3 linked regions of the Canis lupus familiaris genome follow. The protein of the gene in region 2 interacts with the protein of the main gene of each other region in a pairwise test. Links are inferred from orthologs where the notes say so. Each region holds a gene or a part of one and is shown on either strand. Other genes may lie near its edges.

What was found. The genes of interacting proteins can lie anywhere in the genome.
Region 1: the proteins of DDI1 (region 2) and KLHL42 interact in binary tests that used the Homo sapiens proteins (3 or more experiments, as listed by UniProt). The two-hybrid records come from large-scale screens. The link is inferred for Canis lupus familiaris from reciprocal best matches to the Homo sapiens genes DDI1 and KLHL42.
Region 3: the proteins of DDI1 (region 2) and CYGB interact in binary tests that used the Homo sapiens proteins (3 or more experiments, as listed by UniProt). The two-hybrid records come from large-scale screens. The link is inferred for Canis lupus familiaris from reciprocal best matches to the Homo sapiens genes DDI1 and CYGB.

What each region holds. Positions count from the first base shown.
Region 1 is NC_049248.1:26,607,314-26,613,669, forward strand, and holds part of KLHL42 (kelch-like protein 42), read left to right. Parts: intron 1-2,206; coding exon 2,207-2,658; 3' UTR 2,659-6,356. UniProt on the Homo sapiens protein: Substrate-specific adapter of a BCR (BTB-CUL3-RBX1) E3 ubiquitin-protein ligase complex required for mitotic progression and cytokinesis. The BCR(KLHL42) E3 ubiquitin ligase complex mediates the ubiquitination and subsequent degradation of KATNA1.
Region 2 is NC_049226.1:28,115,769-28,121,896, forward strand, and holds DDI1 (protein DDI1 homolog 1), read right to left. Parts: upstream 3,466-6,128; 5' UTR 3,272-3,465; coding exon 2,069-3,271; 3' UTR 1,961-2,068; downstream 1-1,960. UniProt on the Homo sapiens protein: Probable aspartic protease. Seems to act as a proteasomal shuttle which links the proteasome and replication fork proteins like RTF2. Required, with DDI2, for cellular survival following replication stress.
Region 3 is NC_049230.1:5,095,377-5,101,392, reverse strand, and holds part of CYGB (cytoglobin), read right to left. Parts: intron 2,407-6,016; coding exon 2,175-2,406; intron 1,883-2,174; coding exon 1,719-1,882; intron 1-1,718. UniProt on the Homo sapiens protein: Probable multifunctional globin with a hexacoordinated heme iron required for the catalysis of various reactions depending on redox condition of the cell as well as oxygen availability.

The sequences.
Region 1 (6,356 bases), on a different chromosome or scaffold from region 2:
TGGAAAACCCTTGCTTGTGTGTTTTCTAGTTTCTCAAGCCACTACTAATATACCTTCTTCACTTGGGCCACCCACGGTGATTCCTGTCTCGGGTTCCCCAAGCCAAATACCTGTGATGGGATGGTTGGGTGATGTGGATGGATGGATGTTTGTGTAAAGGTTGAAAATGGGTTTTCTGAGATGAGAGGGCAGGACAGTTCCTTGTACTCTGAAATTCCCCTCCTCTTCTGTTTGGGATCTTCTCAGCACTTCCTAATAGTTACCTGTATTTAGAATAAGAAATCAGAATTGTTTTGTTTTATGAACAAATGCAGGGCTCAAAGTTGGGTTATTAGCCTGCTAACTTCTTAAGTTAGGTAGACTTTAAAATTTAGTAAGTAATTCACAATTTTTATGATAGCTGTTTGATTATATTAATTCTGTAGCAGGCACTGAGGAAATGAAAAATTCAATAGAAAGCAATAGTAACCACTCCAGGGAAGAAGGGTGATTTGTTAAAGTTCAGAATCACCTCCAAATGTAAAAGCAAAAAGAGTATTCCACCAACTCAAACCACCTCATCATGGTCTGAGCCCTTGTTGGGTGAGGAGAAAAAACATTTACAGAAGACCTGGGAAGACCTTCAGACCAGGGACTGAGAAATCCATGGAAGCCTCACTAGAATAAGTCCTTTATTCATGTGGAGGGAAAGCCAGGTTACTAAGGAGCACTTTTTGATAGATTGGAACCAAACTCCCTTGGACTGTCTCCAGAATGAGTTTTATCACAGTAGCTACAATAAAAAGAAAGGTAGGGAGGTATTAATGTGGGTGGAAAAAAAGGACAGTTTCCTAAAGCTGTAGCAGTTCTGAAATTTCTACAGGCATGGGGACATGTGGTAAACGAAAGGTTCAGTCTCCTTCTAGTTCTTTTTTTTTTTTAAGATTTATTTATTTATTCATTCATTTATTCATTCATTCATGAGAGACAGAGAGAAGCAGAGACATAGAAGGAGAAGCAGGCTCCCTGCAGGGAGCCCGATGTGGGACTTGATCCCAGGACCCTGGGATCACTGAGCTGAGCCCAAGGCTGATGCTCAACCACTGAGCCCCCCAAATGTTCCTCCTTCTAGTTCTTTCTGTGCTCTCTTACCAGGCACTCGATTGGTGTCAGCAGTAGTGGTGGAGCTCTTTCATCATTGCTAACTGGGAGTGGGTCCTCCTGTGTCTCACCCCCAGGGGGAAGTGTTGTACGCCTTAGTTACATATCTGTTCCCAAGCTGAGTTGTCTCTTACACTGATGAATTTTGTTGTTTAAACAAAAACAACAAACAGAAAGTTCATTCTTTCTGATAACTCAGAGCATTTTTTATTCTGCTGAGACTAAAATATTCCATTTATTTTTTCCGCAAGGAGGAGAAAAAAAAGAACAAATAATAAGGGAAAAATGAAAAGAGATACTTTAAATTTCACAAGCATTTTTTTCAAAAAGAGAGTAAACAATATTTTTTCCTTAAAGCAGCTATGAATGCAAGATGATTTTGGAGTAGCCTTTGATCTGCTTTCTGATTTTACCCACATAAGAACTAGTCATCTCTTGTGAAGTGGGCACAGGAAGAGGGAAGGGCCTTTGTTAGTATGTCTCTCCTGTTACAACCGAGAAATAGAATTGCCAAGTGATTCTATGGCTTGAAGGGCATAGGTGATAGTTTCTTGGGTTTCTCCTGACCTGCAATTGTGTGATTTCCTTTAGACTAGCCCCTGAAGATCTTGCTTGGCTCACTTGTCTTATTTAGTATAGTTGGCTATCAAAAGTAGATCCTCTTCGGGCTCAGCCTATCATCTGTATTAAGAAGTCAGTAATTCTGTAGCTGTTGAAGAGAGTTCCAGGCGCTGATTCTTTTTACATGGATTTTGGTGGTTCTAAACTGTGTAGGGGTACCAGGGAGGAGGAGGGTATGCTCCAATCACAGCTGGCCATGTCCTGGCCCTCTGGATTCTGAGAGCCTCCCAGGGAGGGGACACACCTGATTGGATTATGGGAATGAATCTAAACAGATCACCTCCTAGTCATTTCGAGAACTGTTGTTCCAACCTCTGCTTCTCTGAAATAGTTTTGCCTCTCTGTTACCAAATTATTCAGGTGGGGGTCGGTGTTTATTACAGCTTAGGCAGACGGTGGTGTTACTTATGTCTGTGTCATCATTTGACCTCTTTCTTCATTTCAGACCGCAACATGAACATTTTGCAGTACTGCCCCTCTGCCGACATCTGGACGCTCTTTGAAACCTGCGATGTCCACATTCGCAAGCAGCAGATGGTATCTGTTGAGGAGACCATCTACATCGTGGGGGGATGTCTGCATGAACTGGGGCCCAACCGGAGGAGCAGCCAGAGCGAGGACATGCTCACCGTGCAGTCCTACAACACTGTCACAAGGCAGTGGCTCTACCTCAAGGAGAACACATCCAAATCGGGTCTTAACTTGACTTGCGCACTTCACAATGATGGCATCTACATCATGAGCAGAGACGTTACCCTGTCAACCAGCTTGGAACATCGAGTTTTCCTCAAATACAACATCTTTTCAGATAGTTGGGAAGCATTTAGGCGTTTCCCAGCCTTTGGACACAACTTGCTGGTTTCCTCTCTTTATCTGCCCAATAAAGCAGAAACATGACTGAACTGACTGAGGATTTAAAAGAAACCTGGTTCAAGACAGAAAAAGGAAAAAAAATGTAGTATCCCATTTCAAGGGAGACCGATTTCTAAAGGGAAAACATGAGTTAAAGTAGGTCACATGTACAATAGCTGTAAATAAGCTTACTTGAACTAATTACTTGAAAACACGTGGAGAAAAGAGACCAACTTTATTATTTTTTTAATTATTGATTTTTAAATGATGGGAGCAAATCCATGATAATATTTTCATCCAAATATGATACCCTTGGGCCAGTGACTGAAACTGATCATCAAAAAGAAGATTCATTGTGTCTGCTTTAGTAAAGGGCCAAAGTCAATAACTGACGTGAATGGTAAAGATCATTTTAAAATCCATTTTATTTAGGTCACTTGAAATATCATTAATACCTTCAGTGAGAGATTTTTGTTGTTGTTCTTCACATACTTGACAAATATTTATATTAACATTGTCATTTGCCCCTTTTCTCCCCACATATCCTTCCAGTGGTTTAAAAATCGGGTTCTGTATTTAGATATTTTATTTACACTATCTTTTAGGAAGCTTACAATGATGGAGCCCTATAGTTCTTACAGCATCCAGTCCTCCCTCTCTTGCTTAAAACCTTCTCAGCTATTTTTCCAAACTTTTTTGCAATTATGTGTACTGAATAGATAGGCAGATGTAACCTCTTATTTTATTTAGGTAGCAGGTTGCAAATTTATGTGGTTAGATAAGTTGCATGGCTAGGCATTCTGTATTGTTTAAAAGAGAGGATATATTGTTTAAAAGGATGGAGATATATATACATATATATATTTTTGAAATTGAGTCTTAAATTTAAATGGGAAGGGAAGGAAAGGCCAAATAAGGAAAAAAAAATGCCTTTAAGAGTTACTTTTAATGAATGTATTTGACTTAGTTCTCTTTTTTGGGGTAAGAAAGATAACTGTCATCTTTAGATCAGGCATCTCTCTAATTTAATCTTAACCTTTTAATTCATGCTTTGCTCTTATGAGGTAAGGTGAGGATAGCTGTAGAACATTTGTGCTGGAGAGAGAAGGGGCTCTTTTAGAGATGGTACGGCTTCTGGTGGCTTCTCTGGATTTAGGTAGGTTCCCTTCTTGCCTTGGTTGTTGAATGGAACCAAGCTCCAGCAGTTGTTTTCAGTAAGTCACCTAACACGAATAAAAGCTGCTGCCAGTCATAGGTCCATCCCTTTGAAAATGTATACTTAGAGAAATCTTATTCTTTCTGAACTTCTCTGATCTTTTGTGATGGAATCAGTGAAGCCGTGAGCTGGAGTCCATCTTTCTGTTCTAACGTTCCAGTTACAGCATGTCTCACTTTAAGAAAGTCCCGCAGGAAAAAAAAATCATGGCAAATCCATGCATTCCGCACTTACCCGCTGCTTCCGGCGTGTATTCGCCATGCAGATGTGGTGCAGAGGGGTTGATCACTTCAGCAGAGCTCTTCAGGTCATCAGAAGAGTCACTGCAGGGTTTCTTTAACAACCATGGCCAGCTAGTGGAGTTAAAATCAGGATCTGGTTATAAAAATCCTATTTGCACAACTTTTCAGGACTATTAAGTAAAATGAGGCAAGCCTTTGTTGTGGACTTGGAGACAGCTCTTTGATCTTGTTACCAAATAATCATACCAGTACTCTACTTACACTACTTAAGGGTTTCTAAGCCATATCCATTTATTCTCAAATACTTAGCCTTTTTTTTTAAAACTCGGAACTGAAATCATCTTGGGGATGGTACTCTAATAATAGATTTATATTAATTTATATTCATTATGTAATTGAATTTCCAGTGACCTATAATTTCATTGCATATATTTAAAAATCTAATTTATTTTAGATAGTGTTGACTTTTGTTGCTACAAATTTTAATTTTTTTAAAGCTTAACCTTGTATATCCAGAAGATTCTAGCCAGTTGAATTAGTTCTGGACAATTTGACCTTAGCTTGTAAATAACCACATCATATAAAATGTAATATTGCTGCCAACCAGTTCTCTTCCTGATTACATTCTTTGGATGTGTTTTCCTAATGCCAACAATTAGATTCTTGGACCAAGTGAAGGAATACTCTGATCCACAAAGTTCTTTTTATAAACCAGGTTTGATGTGTGTGTATATGTGCATATTATCTGTGTGTGTATGTGTGTGTGCACGCACGTGTCGTGGCATATTATAGCTCTAAGATACACAGACTTTTAACAAAGTTTTGTTACTCTGGACTGCCAGTGGTACTTGGGCAAGGCACAATGTGCAGTAGGAACAGATCTGTGGATTTGGGTCACCCTTTTTCCTGCCGTGCACATGAGCTACATTGGCATTTTGAGGATAATTTTAATTTAGCTCTGTTCTCGTATTGGTGCCAGTGTTGTATTAAAGACTCTACCTATGATGAGGGAATGTTGCATTGAAAATCCCGTCATCCCCCAGGACTTTGCCTTTTTTTTTAATTTTTATTTTTATTCCGGTATAGTTAATATACAGTGTTATATTAGTTTTAGGTATACAATGTAGTGCTCTTTGATGATATCCTTCCATTTTCTTCCTTCCTCCAAATGTTTCATCCTTCTTTTCTGAAATACTTCTGAGGGGTACTAACCTCCCACTGCAGAGAGGGGAGTTAGTGGAGGACCCCTGATAGTGGGAGCCATCCTGCCAGAAGCAACCTATTTTACTAAGAATAGTCTGAGTGGCAGAGTGAATCCTGAGTGTGGATTGGTAGAGGGAAGTTGGTTCTTCCTGTCATTTTTCCTGGCTTTCTTCTTAAGACCCTTGGTTTCAGAGGCCTCTCCCCTTAGCATCCTTCAAAGTTTTTCTGATGAAAATATATGAGTTATTTCAACAGTGTTGGTTAAGTCATAACAATGAAGTACTGAGAAGGTTATGGATTCTACTAAGAAACAAATAGATTAAGATTAAGCATGAATACCAAAGAGAATTGAACTCGGCCATGTTTTTTTGAACCAAAATCCCAAGTAATTCCAAATGCCTTAGACATCAATTAAAGTTGTATTGAGATGGACAAGCTCTTTCTCTCCAAAGGGTATTAGAAGTAAATGCTTATTTTCTTTCAATAAAGACTTACTTAATGAGCATTGTGGATGCCATGTTTTCAGATTTCCAGGTAAAGTCATGACCCTACCTGTTTGGCCACACAGGTAAATCGAGTGGAAAGGCCTTGGCCTTCTTGATCAACCAACATCTAATGAGCAGTGGCTTAATGCAGAGCATTCGTGAGGCAGCATAGTGACAGAAAGGGAAGATGGGTGAGTTGTTGGATGCCTTTTTCCTAGACCAGGGATGGGGAATATATAACATCTGTGCCACCACTCTCTGATGGTGGCATTATGAATGAGTAGCACTCCTTTCCTCTGTGCCAGGAATTGGTCTCAATCCATGTCATCAGTGTTTCCAGGCATCCATTGCCCATCCCTCAGAGTGAGATGAAGTTCATTTGTCATCCCTGCCTTAGAGGAATGAATGAATTAGGTGAGTAGATTACATCCAAAATGGCTTTGAAAACACTGAGCTGATTCAGCTCTGTTCCCTGGTTCCCAGAAATACTTACTGAAAGTCTATTGTGTGGAGGACAATATTAAGACTAGGGATATAGTCATAAATGAGCCATGTTCCCTGACCTGGGAGAGCTTACAGCCTTGTGAAAATGTTTAC
Region 2 (6,128 bases):
TTACAAAAGAGAATACTTAAATGACATTGATTTCAAATATTAAAAGGACTATTTATTTCATGGCAAAGAAATTACATTAATTAAATATGTTCTGGAAGAAGGAATAGTGAAGACAAATTTATTGGAAGTTATGAAATAATAGAGTTCAGCTCCAAATGAGAAAAAAAGAATTATTCTTGAGACTGGTCCTGAACCATCGTAGCTACTTTAGAAGGGCTGTCCCTCTGAGAAGGGAAGATGGGTATGTTCAGATTTGATACAATGCAAACCTCTTTTAGATTAAAGATCTGATGATTTTTAGATTGGCTTTTATGGGTTAGATAACTCCATAGGCTATATGTCAAACTCTTACACTGAGCATTTCCATATGATGTACACATGTCAGACATGTGTTTTACATAAATGTACCTGGAAACAGAGTCTGGGGGAAACTGCTGAGGAACAGGCATATTTTTATCTGTGAAGGAATCCTTGTATTTATTGGGTCAGTTTTCATCTAGTAACAGGCATTGAATTGCTTATGCTCATTTTTAGTGGTTTAGTGGGTATAAGCCTTGTAACAAGGTTGGGGCTTGTGAGCATGGCAATACCTATAAAGAACATGTGAGGGGAAGTAACAGCACCTGGAGGGGCAGAGGTGACTCTACAGAAATAAGATGGTTACTTTCACCAAGAAGCAGACCCAGAAAGGCATATGCTGATGGCAGGGAAGGATTTTTTTTTTTCTGTAGTCTTTAAAAAATGCTTTGAATGGCTTTAGATTTTGTTGGAAAAGAGAATAACTTTTAAAGGATGCCCTAGATCATGATGTAGTCTCAGTACCTGGAAATGGCTCTCCCCTCCAGAGTAATTTATAGACAAGAAATCTGAGTTGTATAAAATGGAAATGCCCAATACAGAGCTGGAATCAGAACATGTATTTCTTGACTTTGAATCCATCATTCTTTCTAATATCAGCCCTGAAACATTTCCCCTTAGTCTGGTGGTCTCAGGCAGCTGAATCTATTGTGTCAGGTGTGTCAGCCATGAATCATAATGGGTCCAGGATCTTTCAGTAGTCATGCACAGCAGCTTTATTTGCATGTATCATAGAACTAAATGAGGACTCAGACATCTCCTTCGGAGGTTTTCAAATGTTACTTTAACACTGAAACCCTTTGTTCAAACAATATTTCTGTAGCAGCTTAATATATAAAGCAGACTTTAAAAAAAGCTGATTTAGTTGAAATGAATATTAGGGGATCTGGACCACTGCCTGATCCTACCGCCCACTGGCCCCACAGTTACAACTATTAGGCTTCCAAGATGCACCATAGTTAGAAAGAAAGAAAGAAAAAAAGTCTACTTGCTGGCTTTTGTTTTATCACCAGGGTTTCTTTGATGCAGGGGAAAAAGGACATTATTTTAGACTTCATTGGAGAAAAATCCATTTTCTCAAATGTGGCAAAAATTGCCTGTAGGGACATATTGCAGTGAGCATGAGTCCACGGGAGTCCAATGAAAGGGAAGACATAAAATATAAAGAAACTGGCCTTTATAAGTGTCCAAAACAGACATTTGTATGTATTAATCAACTTGAGCATAACTGACTCACCATTTCTAAGAACTTTCCCAAAGAAAACAAAATCTGGGAAAAATTTCTCTTAGTATAAATAATTGTGAGTGCTGATTTGAAATCATTGTATAGATGTTTTATAGGGTCTGTAGTGATGGCTTTTTCTAGAGCATCTGCAAAATAGCATCTGCTTTGGACAAGGCACCCTGTAATCTGATGGGACAGTGTCTCTAAAGGAAGAGACTGGTTTCATTTCATGGATTATCTGGAAATTACTTGGAGCCTCCAGAGCCTTCCTGGGATGAGGTTCAGTGATCTTTGTATAAGGGAAATGAAGGCGGGCCCACGATCAAACAATCACAATTTACACAGTGATGGATCTCAGAAGGTAGTCCCAAAGCCAGGTTTGGTTGTTACTGATGTTTTTAATGATTACACTGCCAGTGAGCTCATGTCTTAGAATCTTCCAGGACCTAAGGCTCCCTCAAGATGGTGGCGTACTCATAATCCATTTCAATGTTTTCTCCATCCTAAATCCATGACTGAATGCTTAATAGTATCTGCTCCTTCTTTGTCTGGAGATTCTTGTTGCCCAGCACTACTTACCAGCTTGGCACACAGGGGTAACTCTCCCTCGGGAAGAAAGGGAGTCTGTGTACCAGTGGTGCCGATCACCAGCACATTCTTCTTCAAGTCGATGGAACACTGGTGTCTCCTGAGCATATCCAGCCCCAGAAGCATGTCCATGGGCTGCTCCTCCAGGATGGAGAAAGAGCACTGTAGGAAATCACCTTCAATCTGAATCTGAGCTAGATGGACTCGGCCAATAATCCTCTGCGTGCCCACCCCTTTGGCAATGCCAGCCCACCGGCGGTCCACCAGCCGTATTATATTACATCTCTCGGCACAGGCTTGGCTCATGATAGTCATCTGGGCTCCAGAGTCCACGAAGGCCTTCAGAGGATGTCCATTCACTTTGCAGTTGATATAGAGCATGGCCACTTGTCCGAAACTCTCTGGAGCCTCCTCCATCGCTATGTTCATATTTTCCTCGATGTTCTGCTGCCGGATTTCTTCTTCTATTTTGGCCTGAGCTTCCAAGTCGAATGGGTCGGCAGTGTAGAGGCGCAGCCGCTCCTGCTCTCTCAGGGCCCTTTCTCTCTGCTGCTCCATGAGGACATGAGAAAATGTGTCAAGGTTCCCGCTGAGCAGGGCTTCGGCCAGGGGCGGGTTGCGCTCCTTGAGCAGTGACAGGTCGTGGGGGTTGGACAGTAGCATGCTCCGGATCAACGCGGGGCTGTCCAGGCCCTGTGTGGGTGTCATCTTCTCTCCGGAGTCCAGGCCGTGGGACTGCTGCGCTGACGGGGCCCGCTGCTGCTGCTGCTGCTGCTGGCGGGAGCTGGACGTGCCCGGCACGGCTAAACTGGTGAAATCTACCTGCAGCAGGCTGGATGTTCGTCCGTGCGGCCGCGGCCCCGCGCTCTCCCTCTGCAGCAGCACCACCACGTCACCGTCTCTGAGGCCGTAGGAGCCCAGGGAGCAGCGGTCGTCGGTGAGGAGCCGCTCCATGAAGATGATCTGGATCTCGTCCACAGGGATGCCAGACTCGAGCTCACAAAGGAGGCGGAAGTTGTGCAGTTCGAAGTCAGGGTTGACCTGGAGGGAGAAGGTCGCCTCGGACAGGTCCCTCCGCACACAGTACACGGTGATCAGCATGACATTGGCCCAGGCAGGCCAGACGGGCACAGGGCATCGGGGTGTCCTCTGGCTCCCTGGAGCTAGGTCTCGTCGGTGGTGTCTGGGCTTCGTTCTGTTCACTCCTGCACGAGGCCCAGCTGCTCACCAGTGCAGTGCCGGCTGCTTGGCGGCTCGGAACCCTGAGGAGGCCCGGGTGTTCCAGGGCTCATTTGTATGGCACTGCTTGGAACTTGGAATGCCTGTTCCCACAGAGGTGCCCGGCTCCGCCCACTGGTTCCCGGGCCAGCCCTTCCCACCCTGCCTCACCCACGATTTGGAAGATTATCTCAGCTCTTCCTAAACAACATTTCATCTTGGTCACTTGAGAGTGGTATTCTACATGCTTCTCCTTAGACCCAGACAGGGGTGCTTGGTCCCTGCATGGCGAGCATCACGCTATGTGCTTGGGATGAGAGACGGGTCAGACTTGGTGCCCTACTGTGATGACCTCACATTCTCTGGAGGGGGGATTGATGATAAATGAGGGAATCATAATACAGGAGGTAAGTGAGACACCCCAGACAACACTTAACAGAAGCCAGAATTCACAATAAGGCCTGTTGTTTTCTAGGAAAATGGAGGACGTCCAATGTCATAGGAGAAATTTGTACATGATTTTGGATGGCTTGATGTGAAGCTGGAAAGAAAACAATTAGAACCAGTTTTTAGAGTTATACGTGAATCCAAGGAATGTAGATAGTATTAATACACAAGAATCCTCCATCCAAAAACATAAAAAAAGGAGGGAAAGAAAAGAGAAAAAAAAAGAAAGGAAATGGGAAAGATTTGAAGGAAGTGTTTATGATTTTTTTCTATTTAATTGATTTAAGGAAGAGGTTTCTCATGACCTATGAAGGACACATGGTGGCGGGAGGGCCAGGTAGATGCCTTCTTGTTGGTTTAGAGAGGGCACTGTTGCTAGAAGATGAAAATATAAGGACGACCAAAGCGAATGCAGTGGGGAATAAGAGAGATCATTGAGTAGAATGGATGGGACGTCTTGAGACATTGGATGTGGGCTGCATGAAAGAACAGAATGTGTGGATGACATAGAGGGTCATCACCATCACCCTACCTTCAATGGATGTGTGAGATGAACCTTTGAGGAGACCAGTTTGATGTTGGTTTTGGAGTAAAATGGATCATGAATGCCCATCTCAGGGCCGTGAATGGCTCCCTCTCTGACGTAGGGCACAGGACCCTCCCACACACAGCAGAGTGGAGACATTAAGAACATTGATAGAGAGGTCCTTCTGGGCAGATGGTGGCTGGGTACAATCCTTGAGTGCCACTTCCTTTTCTCTGTATCTCACAGTGTGTGTGAGGAGCTCCTGCTTCCAGGGTGTGGTCTCCCCAGGTGTGTTTATTTACAAACCAAAAGATAGTTAACATCTTCTGCCTTGCCCCACCTCCCTCTTTATTTCAAGGTTTGTCAGGAGACCTGCACCATTAGAGGTTACATCAACTTAAAGAACTGTTTTAGTTTCCATTTCTCATGTGTTTGTCTCAGATAAAGGACTATATCTTATTCATTGCTCTAATTATCATTATATTTCCATACTCATATTCATTTATATTGGAAATGTTGACTAAATGCCTAGCGTGTGTGAAGCATATGCTAAGTTCTGGGGAGGCATGCATGAATAATGTTAAGTGTAAGCTATGCTCGTAGAGGAGCCAGTCTAAAAGAGGATGCATGCACACATATGCGTATGCATGCACACACACACATGTAAACACAAATGCACATGTGCACGCAAATACACATGCATGCATGCACGCACGCACACATACATGGACATGTGTGCATGTACACACATGTACATGCATGTGCACATGCAGACACATACACATACATACATACAGATACAAAACATGTATACACATACACAGGCGTACACACGTGCATATGCATGCACACATAGATGGGTATACTTATGTACATGCACACATATACACACGCACATGCATATACACATACATACACACATGCACCCACATACATAGATAGGCATAAGATATGTGCTTATGCATGCACCCATATAGACATACATGTACACACAAGCATACACACATACATGCATATGCACACACACTTCCATATATACATATACACACATAATACCAGAGAGGTCAGTACAACAGGAGAGAAATGAATACTATCCAGAGAACAAATGCAGAATGTGAAAAGGGAGTCAGGCAGGGACGCTTCCTGAACATGCTGGGTTTAGAGACATGGCAAGAAGTCAACCACAGGGGGCTGGATGCAGTGGAGACCCAGGGCCAAGAAGTGCATGGCCCCAACTTCATACCTTCAACCAGAAAGGCAGCAGCCCTTCAGGATGAGGAGGATTTTATAAACTTTCAGGGGGAAATAATCTAGCATTATAATTTTCCTGTAGAAAATTCTGAATTATTTAGAGCCAATCTTCACTATTTGTAGAGGTGGATGGCCCTTTGACTCCCAATATTAAGTTAATAAATTTCTTGTGTAGTTCTTTCTTCGCGTCTCGGTAGGTTCCTCAGAGATCAGCTGTGGTCGTGCTGAGCTCGTGGGGTGACACCCGCCATGGACAAACAATTCTGCCAGAAGCCAGCAAGGCTCAGGTTCCATGTCCTGTTTTACTTCCCACCAACCAGCTTTCAACAGTTTGTTTTTTAAATTTTAATAAGTTAGGGACATAATTCTGGGGGTTTGTTTTTTGTAGAATAGGCTTTTCCTATTTTTTTGGCAAAGTGAAAATCCGGGGTTCACATCAAAAGAAACGAACATCTCTTTTTTTTTCGTATTACCATTGCTTTGATACTGAACATAATTAAGCTTTGTGCAGTATGT
Region 3 (6,016 bases), on a different chromosome or scaffold from region 2:
CTGGGGTGGGGAGAGACCCAAATTTGAGATGCTCAGGACCGATGGAGGCAGGGCTTCAGCCAATCCTCACTGCAGCCCATCCATTCCCTCCACGAGGAGCAGGACCGGGCAGACGGAGATTCTGGTGGTTTCTTAATGTTTGGGGTTTGGTGAGACGTCAGTCCCAAGGGTCCAGCTGGGGCAAGACATGGGAGGGGACAGGGCTTCGTGTTGGGAAACGCGGTCCATGTGTTTCTGATTCACGGGGACTTGGACTGGCCAGCTCTCTCTCCTTTTCCCTCTCCGGTCCCTCTAGGGCCTCTGTAAAAAAGCCCTTTTCTCTAGAAGCAGGAAGTCTTGTCTCCTGGCTGTAAACAAACTCATCTCTGGCAGCTGAGCCGGCCTCTCCGGCCTGGGTGGAGGCTGGGAGGGCAAGCCCCTTCCCCCACTGACCCTCCCTGGCCCCGCCGTCAGCTTCCGGCAGCCACCCCGGCTCTGCCAGCACCTCCTGCGGCAGGTAAAGATCTTCTATCTGCTTCCCGTCCACGTCCCCCTCCCCACCCCGGGATCTGGGGCAGGCCAGGGCCCAGCTGTGCACATCTGGCCTCACTGCCGAGCTGTAGCCAGAAGTTCCCGAGATTTCTACTCTCCTGGGGTGGTGCCGATGTGGGGGAAGGGAGCAGGAGCAAGCTGGGGCCCGTGTGGCCAGCAGCAGGAAGGTCAGGAGGCCCGGCCTCCCAAGTCCGCCCTCGGGGGACCTCCTCCAGAGCTGGGCCCCGAGGCCTGCGAGCAGGAGGTCCAGGAGGTCCGTGGGCCGCTCGGAGCCCGGGGAGCAGACGCGCCTTTTCCATGGGAAACTGCTGGGAATGTTTCTCGACAACGCGTGTCCTGAGCCGCTGGCTGACCCCTGCTTCCCATTCCCGCCTACGCTCCTCTTTCTCCTTCCTACTCCAGCCCTGCCTCCGCCCCTCCATTGAGCTCCCAGAGCTGCCTGCCCCTTGGGGGCCTGGGCAGGCCGGAGTGTTCCCAGCCACCATGTCTGGGGGCCAGCCCTCCCCTTGAGCTCCGAGTCCGCTGGAGTCCCTGAGGCTGGCCACCCTCCTCGAGCCCATCTCCGTGGCCCTCACCCCAGAACTGGGAACCTGGCCTCTAGGGTCAACCTGGAAGTAAACACCCCTGAAGGTGTGTGCGGGGTAGCGACACCCACGCAGGCCCCTTGTGCGCTTGGGCATGTGCACGTGTGTGCACACACCCTCGTGATTCTCCTGGCTCCGGCCCTGCTGAGGCAGAGGCAGGAGGGAGCACTGGTCAGCATTAGCTGACAAACAGCCCCATGTGATTGGTACCGGGGAGGAAGTGGTGGGGAATTAGCCTGGCCTGCCTCTGGGCCCGATGAGCTAGCCTTCCCGCCAGGAACCTCGTAGGGCCTCTCTGCCCTGGGCGGCCGTGGTCTTGGGCCGCTCTGAGTGCTCTTGTGTTCTAGGGAAGGGGATGGCTCTACCCCAGGAGAATCTGTTTGGGGCTCATGGCTCGGAGCAGCCTCTATCTAGTAGGGGCCCGGCCCTTTCCCATCATGCCTCTTCTTAAGCGTCAGACCCCAGACCTAGCCTCCCGAAGAGTTCCTGCCCCAGCAGTCAGCTCCTGTGCCCCAGGAGAGATGGGAGACCGGGGGGGGGGGGGGGGGGGGGGCAGGGGAGGACGGCGGGGAGGCTGTCCGGCCCACCCTCACCCCTCCTCACGTGGTGGTGTTGGGGACCTGCTGTACCCAGCCCACTTCTTTGTAGGCAGCGGTCACATGGCTGTAGATGAGGCTACGCAGCTTGGCCCAGGCTCTCTGCGTCTCAGGTGGGAAGTCATTGGCAAATTCCTCGGCGATCACCTCCAGAATCACCCCAGAGAGGATCTGGGGGCAAAGGGAGGAGGGAGAAGTAAACGCCTGGTTGCCCTGCCTCCTCACCCCCGAAGCCCCCAAGGCCCCCAGCACCCCTTCTAGACAGGTTTTGGCCAGGGGGATCATTCACAACAGGACAGCCTGGCAACTTTGAGACCCAGCCCCCACCTGATCCTGCAGCCCCCTCCCTGTCACAACCATGTGGAGGTTGAGGGGGGAGAGGCTGGGCTGCCCAGTGGTCCCCTCTGTTCCCCAGTGGTGCTCCCAGAGCAGGGTGGGCGGAGGATTGGCCACAGCCACCTACCTTGAAGTACACAGGCTCCACCTTGTGCTTGAGGGCGTGGGCTTTGCCCACAAGGGCGAGCACGGAGGACACCTTCTCCGGGTCGTGTAGGTTCTCCACGACAGTGTTGAGGGCCCCCATGACCCGGCAGGCGTGTTTCCGCAGCTGGGGGCTCCGCTCCATCTCCAGGGGCTCTGTCATGTGCTTGAACTGGCTGAAGTACTGCTTGGCCGATGGAAAGTTCACAAAGAACCTGGCGGGAGGGCGGGAGTGCTCAAGTCAGGACTGCCTGGGCCCCACCGTGAGGTGGCCAGGGTGACATGGGGAGCCGCCCCAAGGTGGCCAGGGTGATGTGGGGAGCCACCCCAAGGTGGCTGGGGTGATGGGGGAGTCCACCTCAAGAAGGCCAGGGTGACGGGGGGAGCCCACCCTGAGGTGGCTGGGGTAATGGGGGGAGCCCACACCGAGGTGGCCCGGTGATGGGAGGAGCCCACCCCAAGGAGGCCAGGGTGATGTGGAGAGCCCACCCTAAGGTGGCCAGGGTGATGGAGGGAGCCCACCCCGAGGTGGCTGGGGTGATGTGGGGAGCCCACCCCAAGGTGGCTGGGGTGACAGGGGGAGCCCACCTCAAGACGGCTGGGTGGTCGAGGTGACGGGGGACCCACCCGAGGTGGCTGGGGTGACCAGGGAGTCCACCCCAAGGTGCCAGGGTAGTGGGGGTGCGGGGTAGGAGGGGCAGGACCAGTAACTCTTTCACCACCGTGTGTAGCGGGCCCCCAGACACAGACCCTCCCTCTGGCCGAGCTGGTGACATGCCGCCCCGACCCGGGTCCTGGCCATATCTGTGGGCCAAACTTGCACAGACTGTCAGCCCTGTCTCCCAGGCTCCTGTCTTTCTTGCTGTGGCCTCCTTTCCCAGCCCCACCCACCCTCAAGGCCTGCTCCAGGCACAGCAGAGAGGGCCAGAGCTCTAGTTCTGGGCCCCGGGGCCAGCGTGACCTCGGATAAGTGATGGCACTTCTCTGAGTCTCCGTGTCCTCGTCCATGCAACGGGCATGGTTGTTCCTAGCTTGCCATGAGGATGAACTGGGAAACCGCGTGTGGAGTCCTCAGCACAGTGTGAACACCGGGTGCTCGGTCAATGCCAGTGGGTCGTGATCAAGGTAGAGCTCTCTTTGCAAAAAGTAAAGCCCGAGTGACTTGGCTCAGGTCACCCAGTCACGGAGGGAAGAAACACGGGACAGTTCTCCCGCCAGCTCTGTCTGTTCCCTCCTCCCTACCTGCTTCCCTCCTCCGCCTGCTGCGCTTATTGATTGGCTGATTTAATTACAGCTCCGGACTGGTCTTACCCTCCTGGTGTGAGTCCGTCATTACTTCACATCTGTACATCTCGCTTCTCCAAGAAGCCCGTGCACGTCCTGGGGCAGACCCCAGGTCTTTTTAGTGCTCTCCTTCCCTCTCCACTTTACCTGAAATTGCCTAATTCCCCCCAAATGTCACTTTCATTAGGTTACTTTCATGCTCACATTCAGTGGCACCCCAATATCTACTGGACAAAGTCAAAATCCTTAACCTGGGATCTCAGGCTTCCTACAAACTGTCCCAACTCAGCCACCTTCCTCCAGCCCACTCACTGCTGGTAAAACACTCCTCGGGCAGGCCAGCCTTCCTTCCCACTCTTTCTTGCGTTGGACTTGGCCCTCCTACCCCACGGTGCCCAGGCTGTCCCTTTAAGGCCATTAGGGGTTCCCCGCCACCCTTTACCGCTTCTTCCCTTCCTGCCTGTTGGACTGGGTCCCACAACCCAAGGGCAGGGCCTGGGTCTCACACCTGCTGTGACCCATCCCCTCAGCCCAGGGCCCTGGGTCCGCAAGATGACACCAATGCCCTTTGCGTTCTCTCTCCCTGGCAGAGCTGGGTGTTGCAGGAGGTGCAGGTACACACTCACACACACCCGATCAGAACTTCAGAAAACATACGGAATGTCTTGGGCCTGTTTTGTTGGGTTCTCTCACACCTCTGGAGTATCCTCATTTGCGATCAGAGAAAACTGATAATTTGCCAAATCAGCCCTTTGGCCAGAGAGCTGGAACAGATGCAGAGAGAGCTTCTGGCCCAGTCCATCCCGTCAGGCGACAAAGCTGCTGCAGGCGGGGGAGTGGCGAGGACGCAGTCCATGTGGAGACCAAGGGTGACCTTGGGCAAACCACTTCACAACCTCCCGTCTGCAAAAGTGTGAGAGGAGTTCCTCCCACTCGATAGTTCACAGATACACTAGTGAGGACAAATGAGGCAATGAGTCTGAAAATACGTTGGATTTTTCTGGAGACGCATGATATGAAGGACAAATGTAAAGAACCCAATTTGGGCTTAAATGAGTATTACCTTAGACTTTGGGCACTTCACATTGCAATAAAAATAATGATCGCTGTTTGCCTGGTGCGTTCCAATGTGCAAAACATCTCCACCTGTTATTTCACTTAATTGCCACAACCGGGGATGCCTGGGTGGCTCAGCAGTTGAGCGTCTGCCTTTGTCTCGGGGCATGATCCCGGGATCCGGGATCGAGGATCGAGTGCCACATCGGGCTCCCTGCGTGGAGCCTGCTTCTCCCTCTGCCTGTGTCTCTGCTTCTCTCTCTGTGTCTTTCATGAATAAATAAATAAAATCTTAAAAAAAAAATAATTGCCACAACCAAGCAAGCATTGTTATATCCATTTTACTGATGAGGAGCTAACAAGGAAGACTTACTGAGCACTTACTAGATTGTGTCATTAATCCTGCACTAGCCTCCTGAGATTGGCACTGTTTTTATCTCCGCGTTCTGTTTTAGGAATCTATGCCCAGGGTTGCCCAGCAAAGTGGGTGGCAGGGCCAGGAAGACAGACAGACATCTCCTGCCTTGATGGCTTCCGAATCCTGCCTCGGAGAAACTGCTGTGCCAGGGAGATGGGGGCCTGGGGCCCAACGAGTCTCCTGCCTTGACACCCAGGGCCATTATGGCCCTGAGGAATGACAGTCCCAGGGAGCCCCTCTGCTGCACCAGGGGAGTCTGGGGGCCACGTGCTCTGCTCCCTCTTCCTGGCTTCTGTCCCCAGCCCCAGCACTCCCGACCCTCCAGGTCCGGGCCTGTGCTGTGCTGCGCTGCCTGCAGGGGAGAAGCCTCAGCAGCCAGCCTTGGGGAGTTTCTCAGCTCCCAGAGGCATCTGGGCTTCCAACAGAGCCTGAAATAGGCTTGTCTTGAGTGTGAGGGGGGAAGGTGGCAGAGTTACAACCGGGAGGGGAGTCTTCCTAGAGCATGGGTGTTCCCTCTCCACTGGAGTGCAGGTATGGGGTCTGGTTCCGACCCCAAGACAGCTTTTCCACCACCACCAGCACTGCCACCCCCTTCCTGGCTGTGGACTCCTGGGGCTGGGGTGGGGGGTAGGGTGTGGGGGTGCAGCTGGCCTTAGCCCAGCAGGGAGGGAGGACCTGAGAGTGATGGGCCAGAGGACTCAGTGTCTCAGGCTCTCACTGGCGCCTGTCCTTGTGGATGTGTGTGAAGTTGGGGAGGTGTGAGTGATAAAAGTTGGGGGGCACAGGATCTGGGGAGGGGCCTTTGGGACACCAGAGAGGTTTATCAATCTTCCCCTCTAGCCCCTTTAACCAACCTTCTCCCCCACCTGGCAGGTCGGGGGGCAGAGAGCAGGAGGAGACCCAGAGGGAGCAGGCTGGTGGGGCTCGGGTCTGGCAGGGAGGAGCTGGGCCAGCGCTGGGCTCCGACCAACACAGAGGTGGGTCTGGTGGAATGTGGCCCGGGCTGACCAGCCGGCTGGACCTCACTGCTGTCTCAGGCCTTCTGGATTAATTGTGGGCCTCTCACT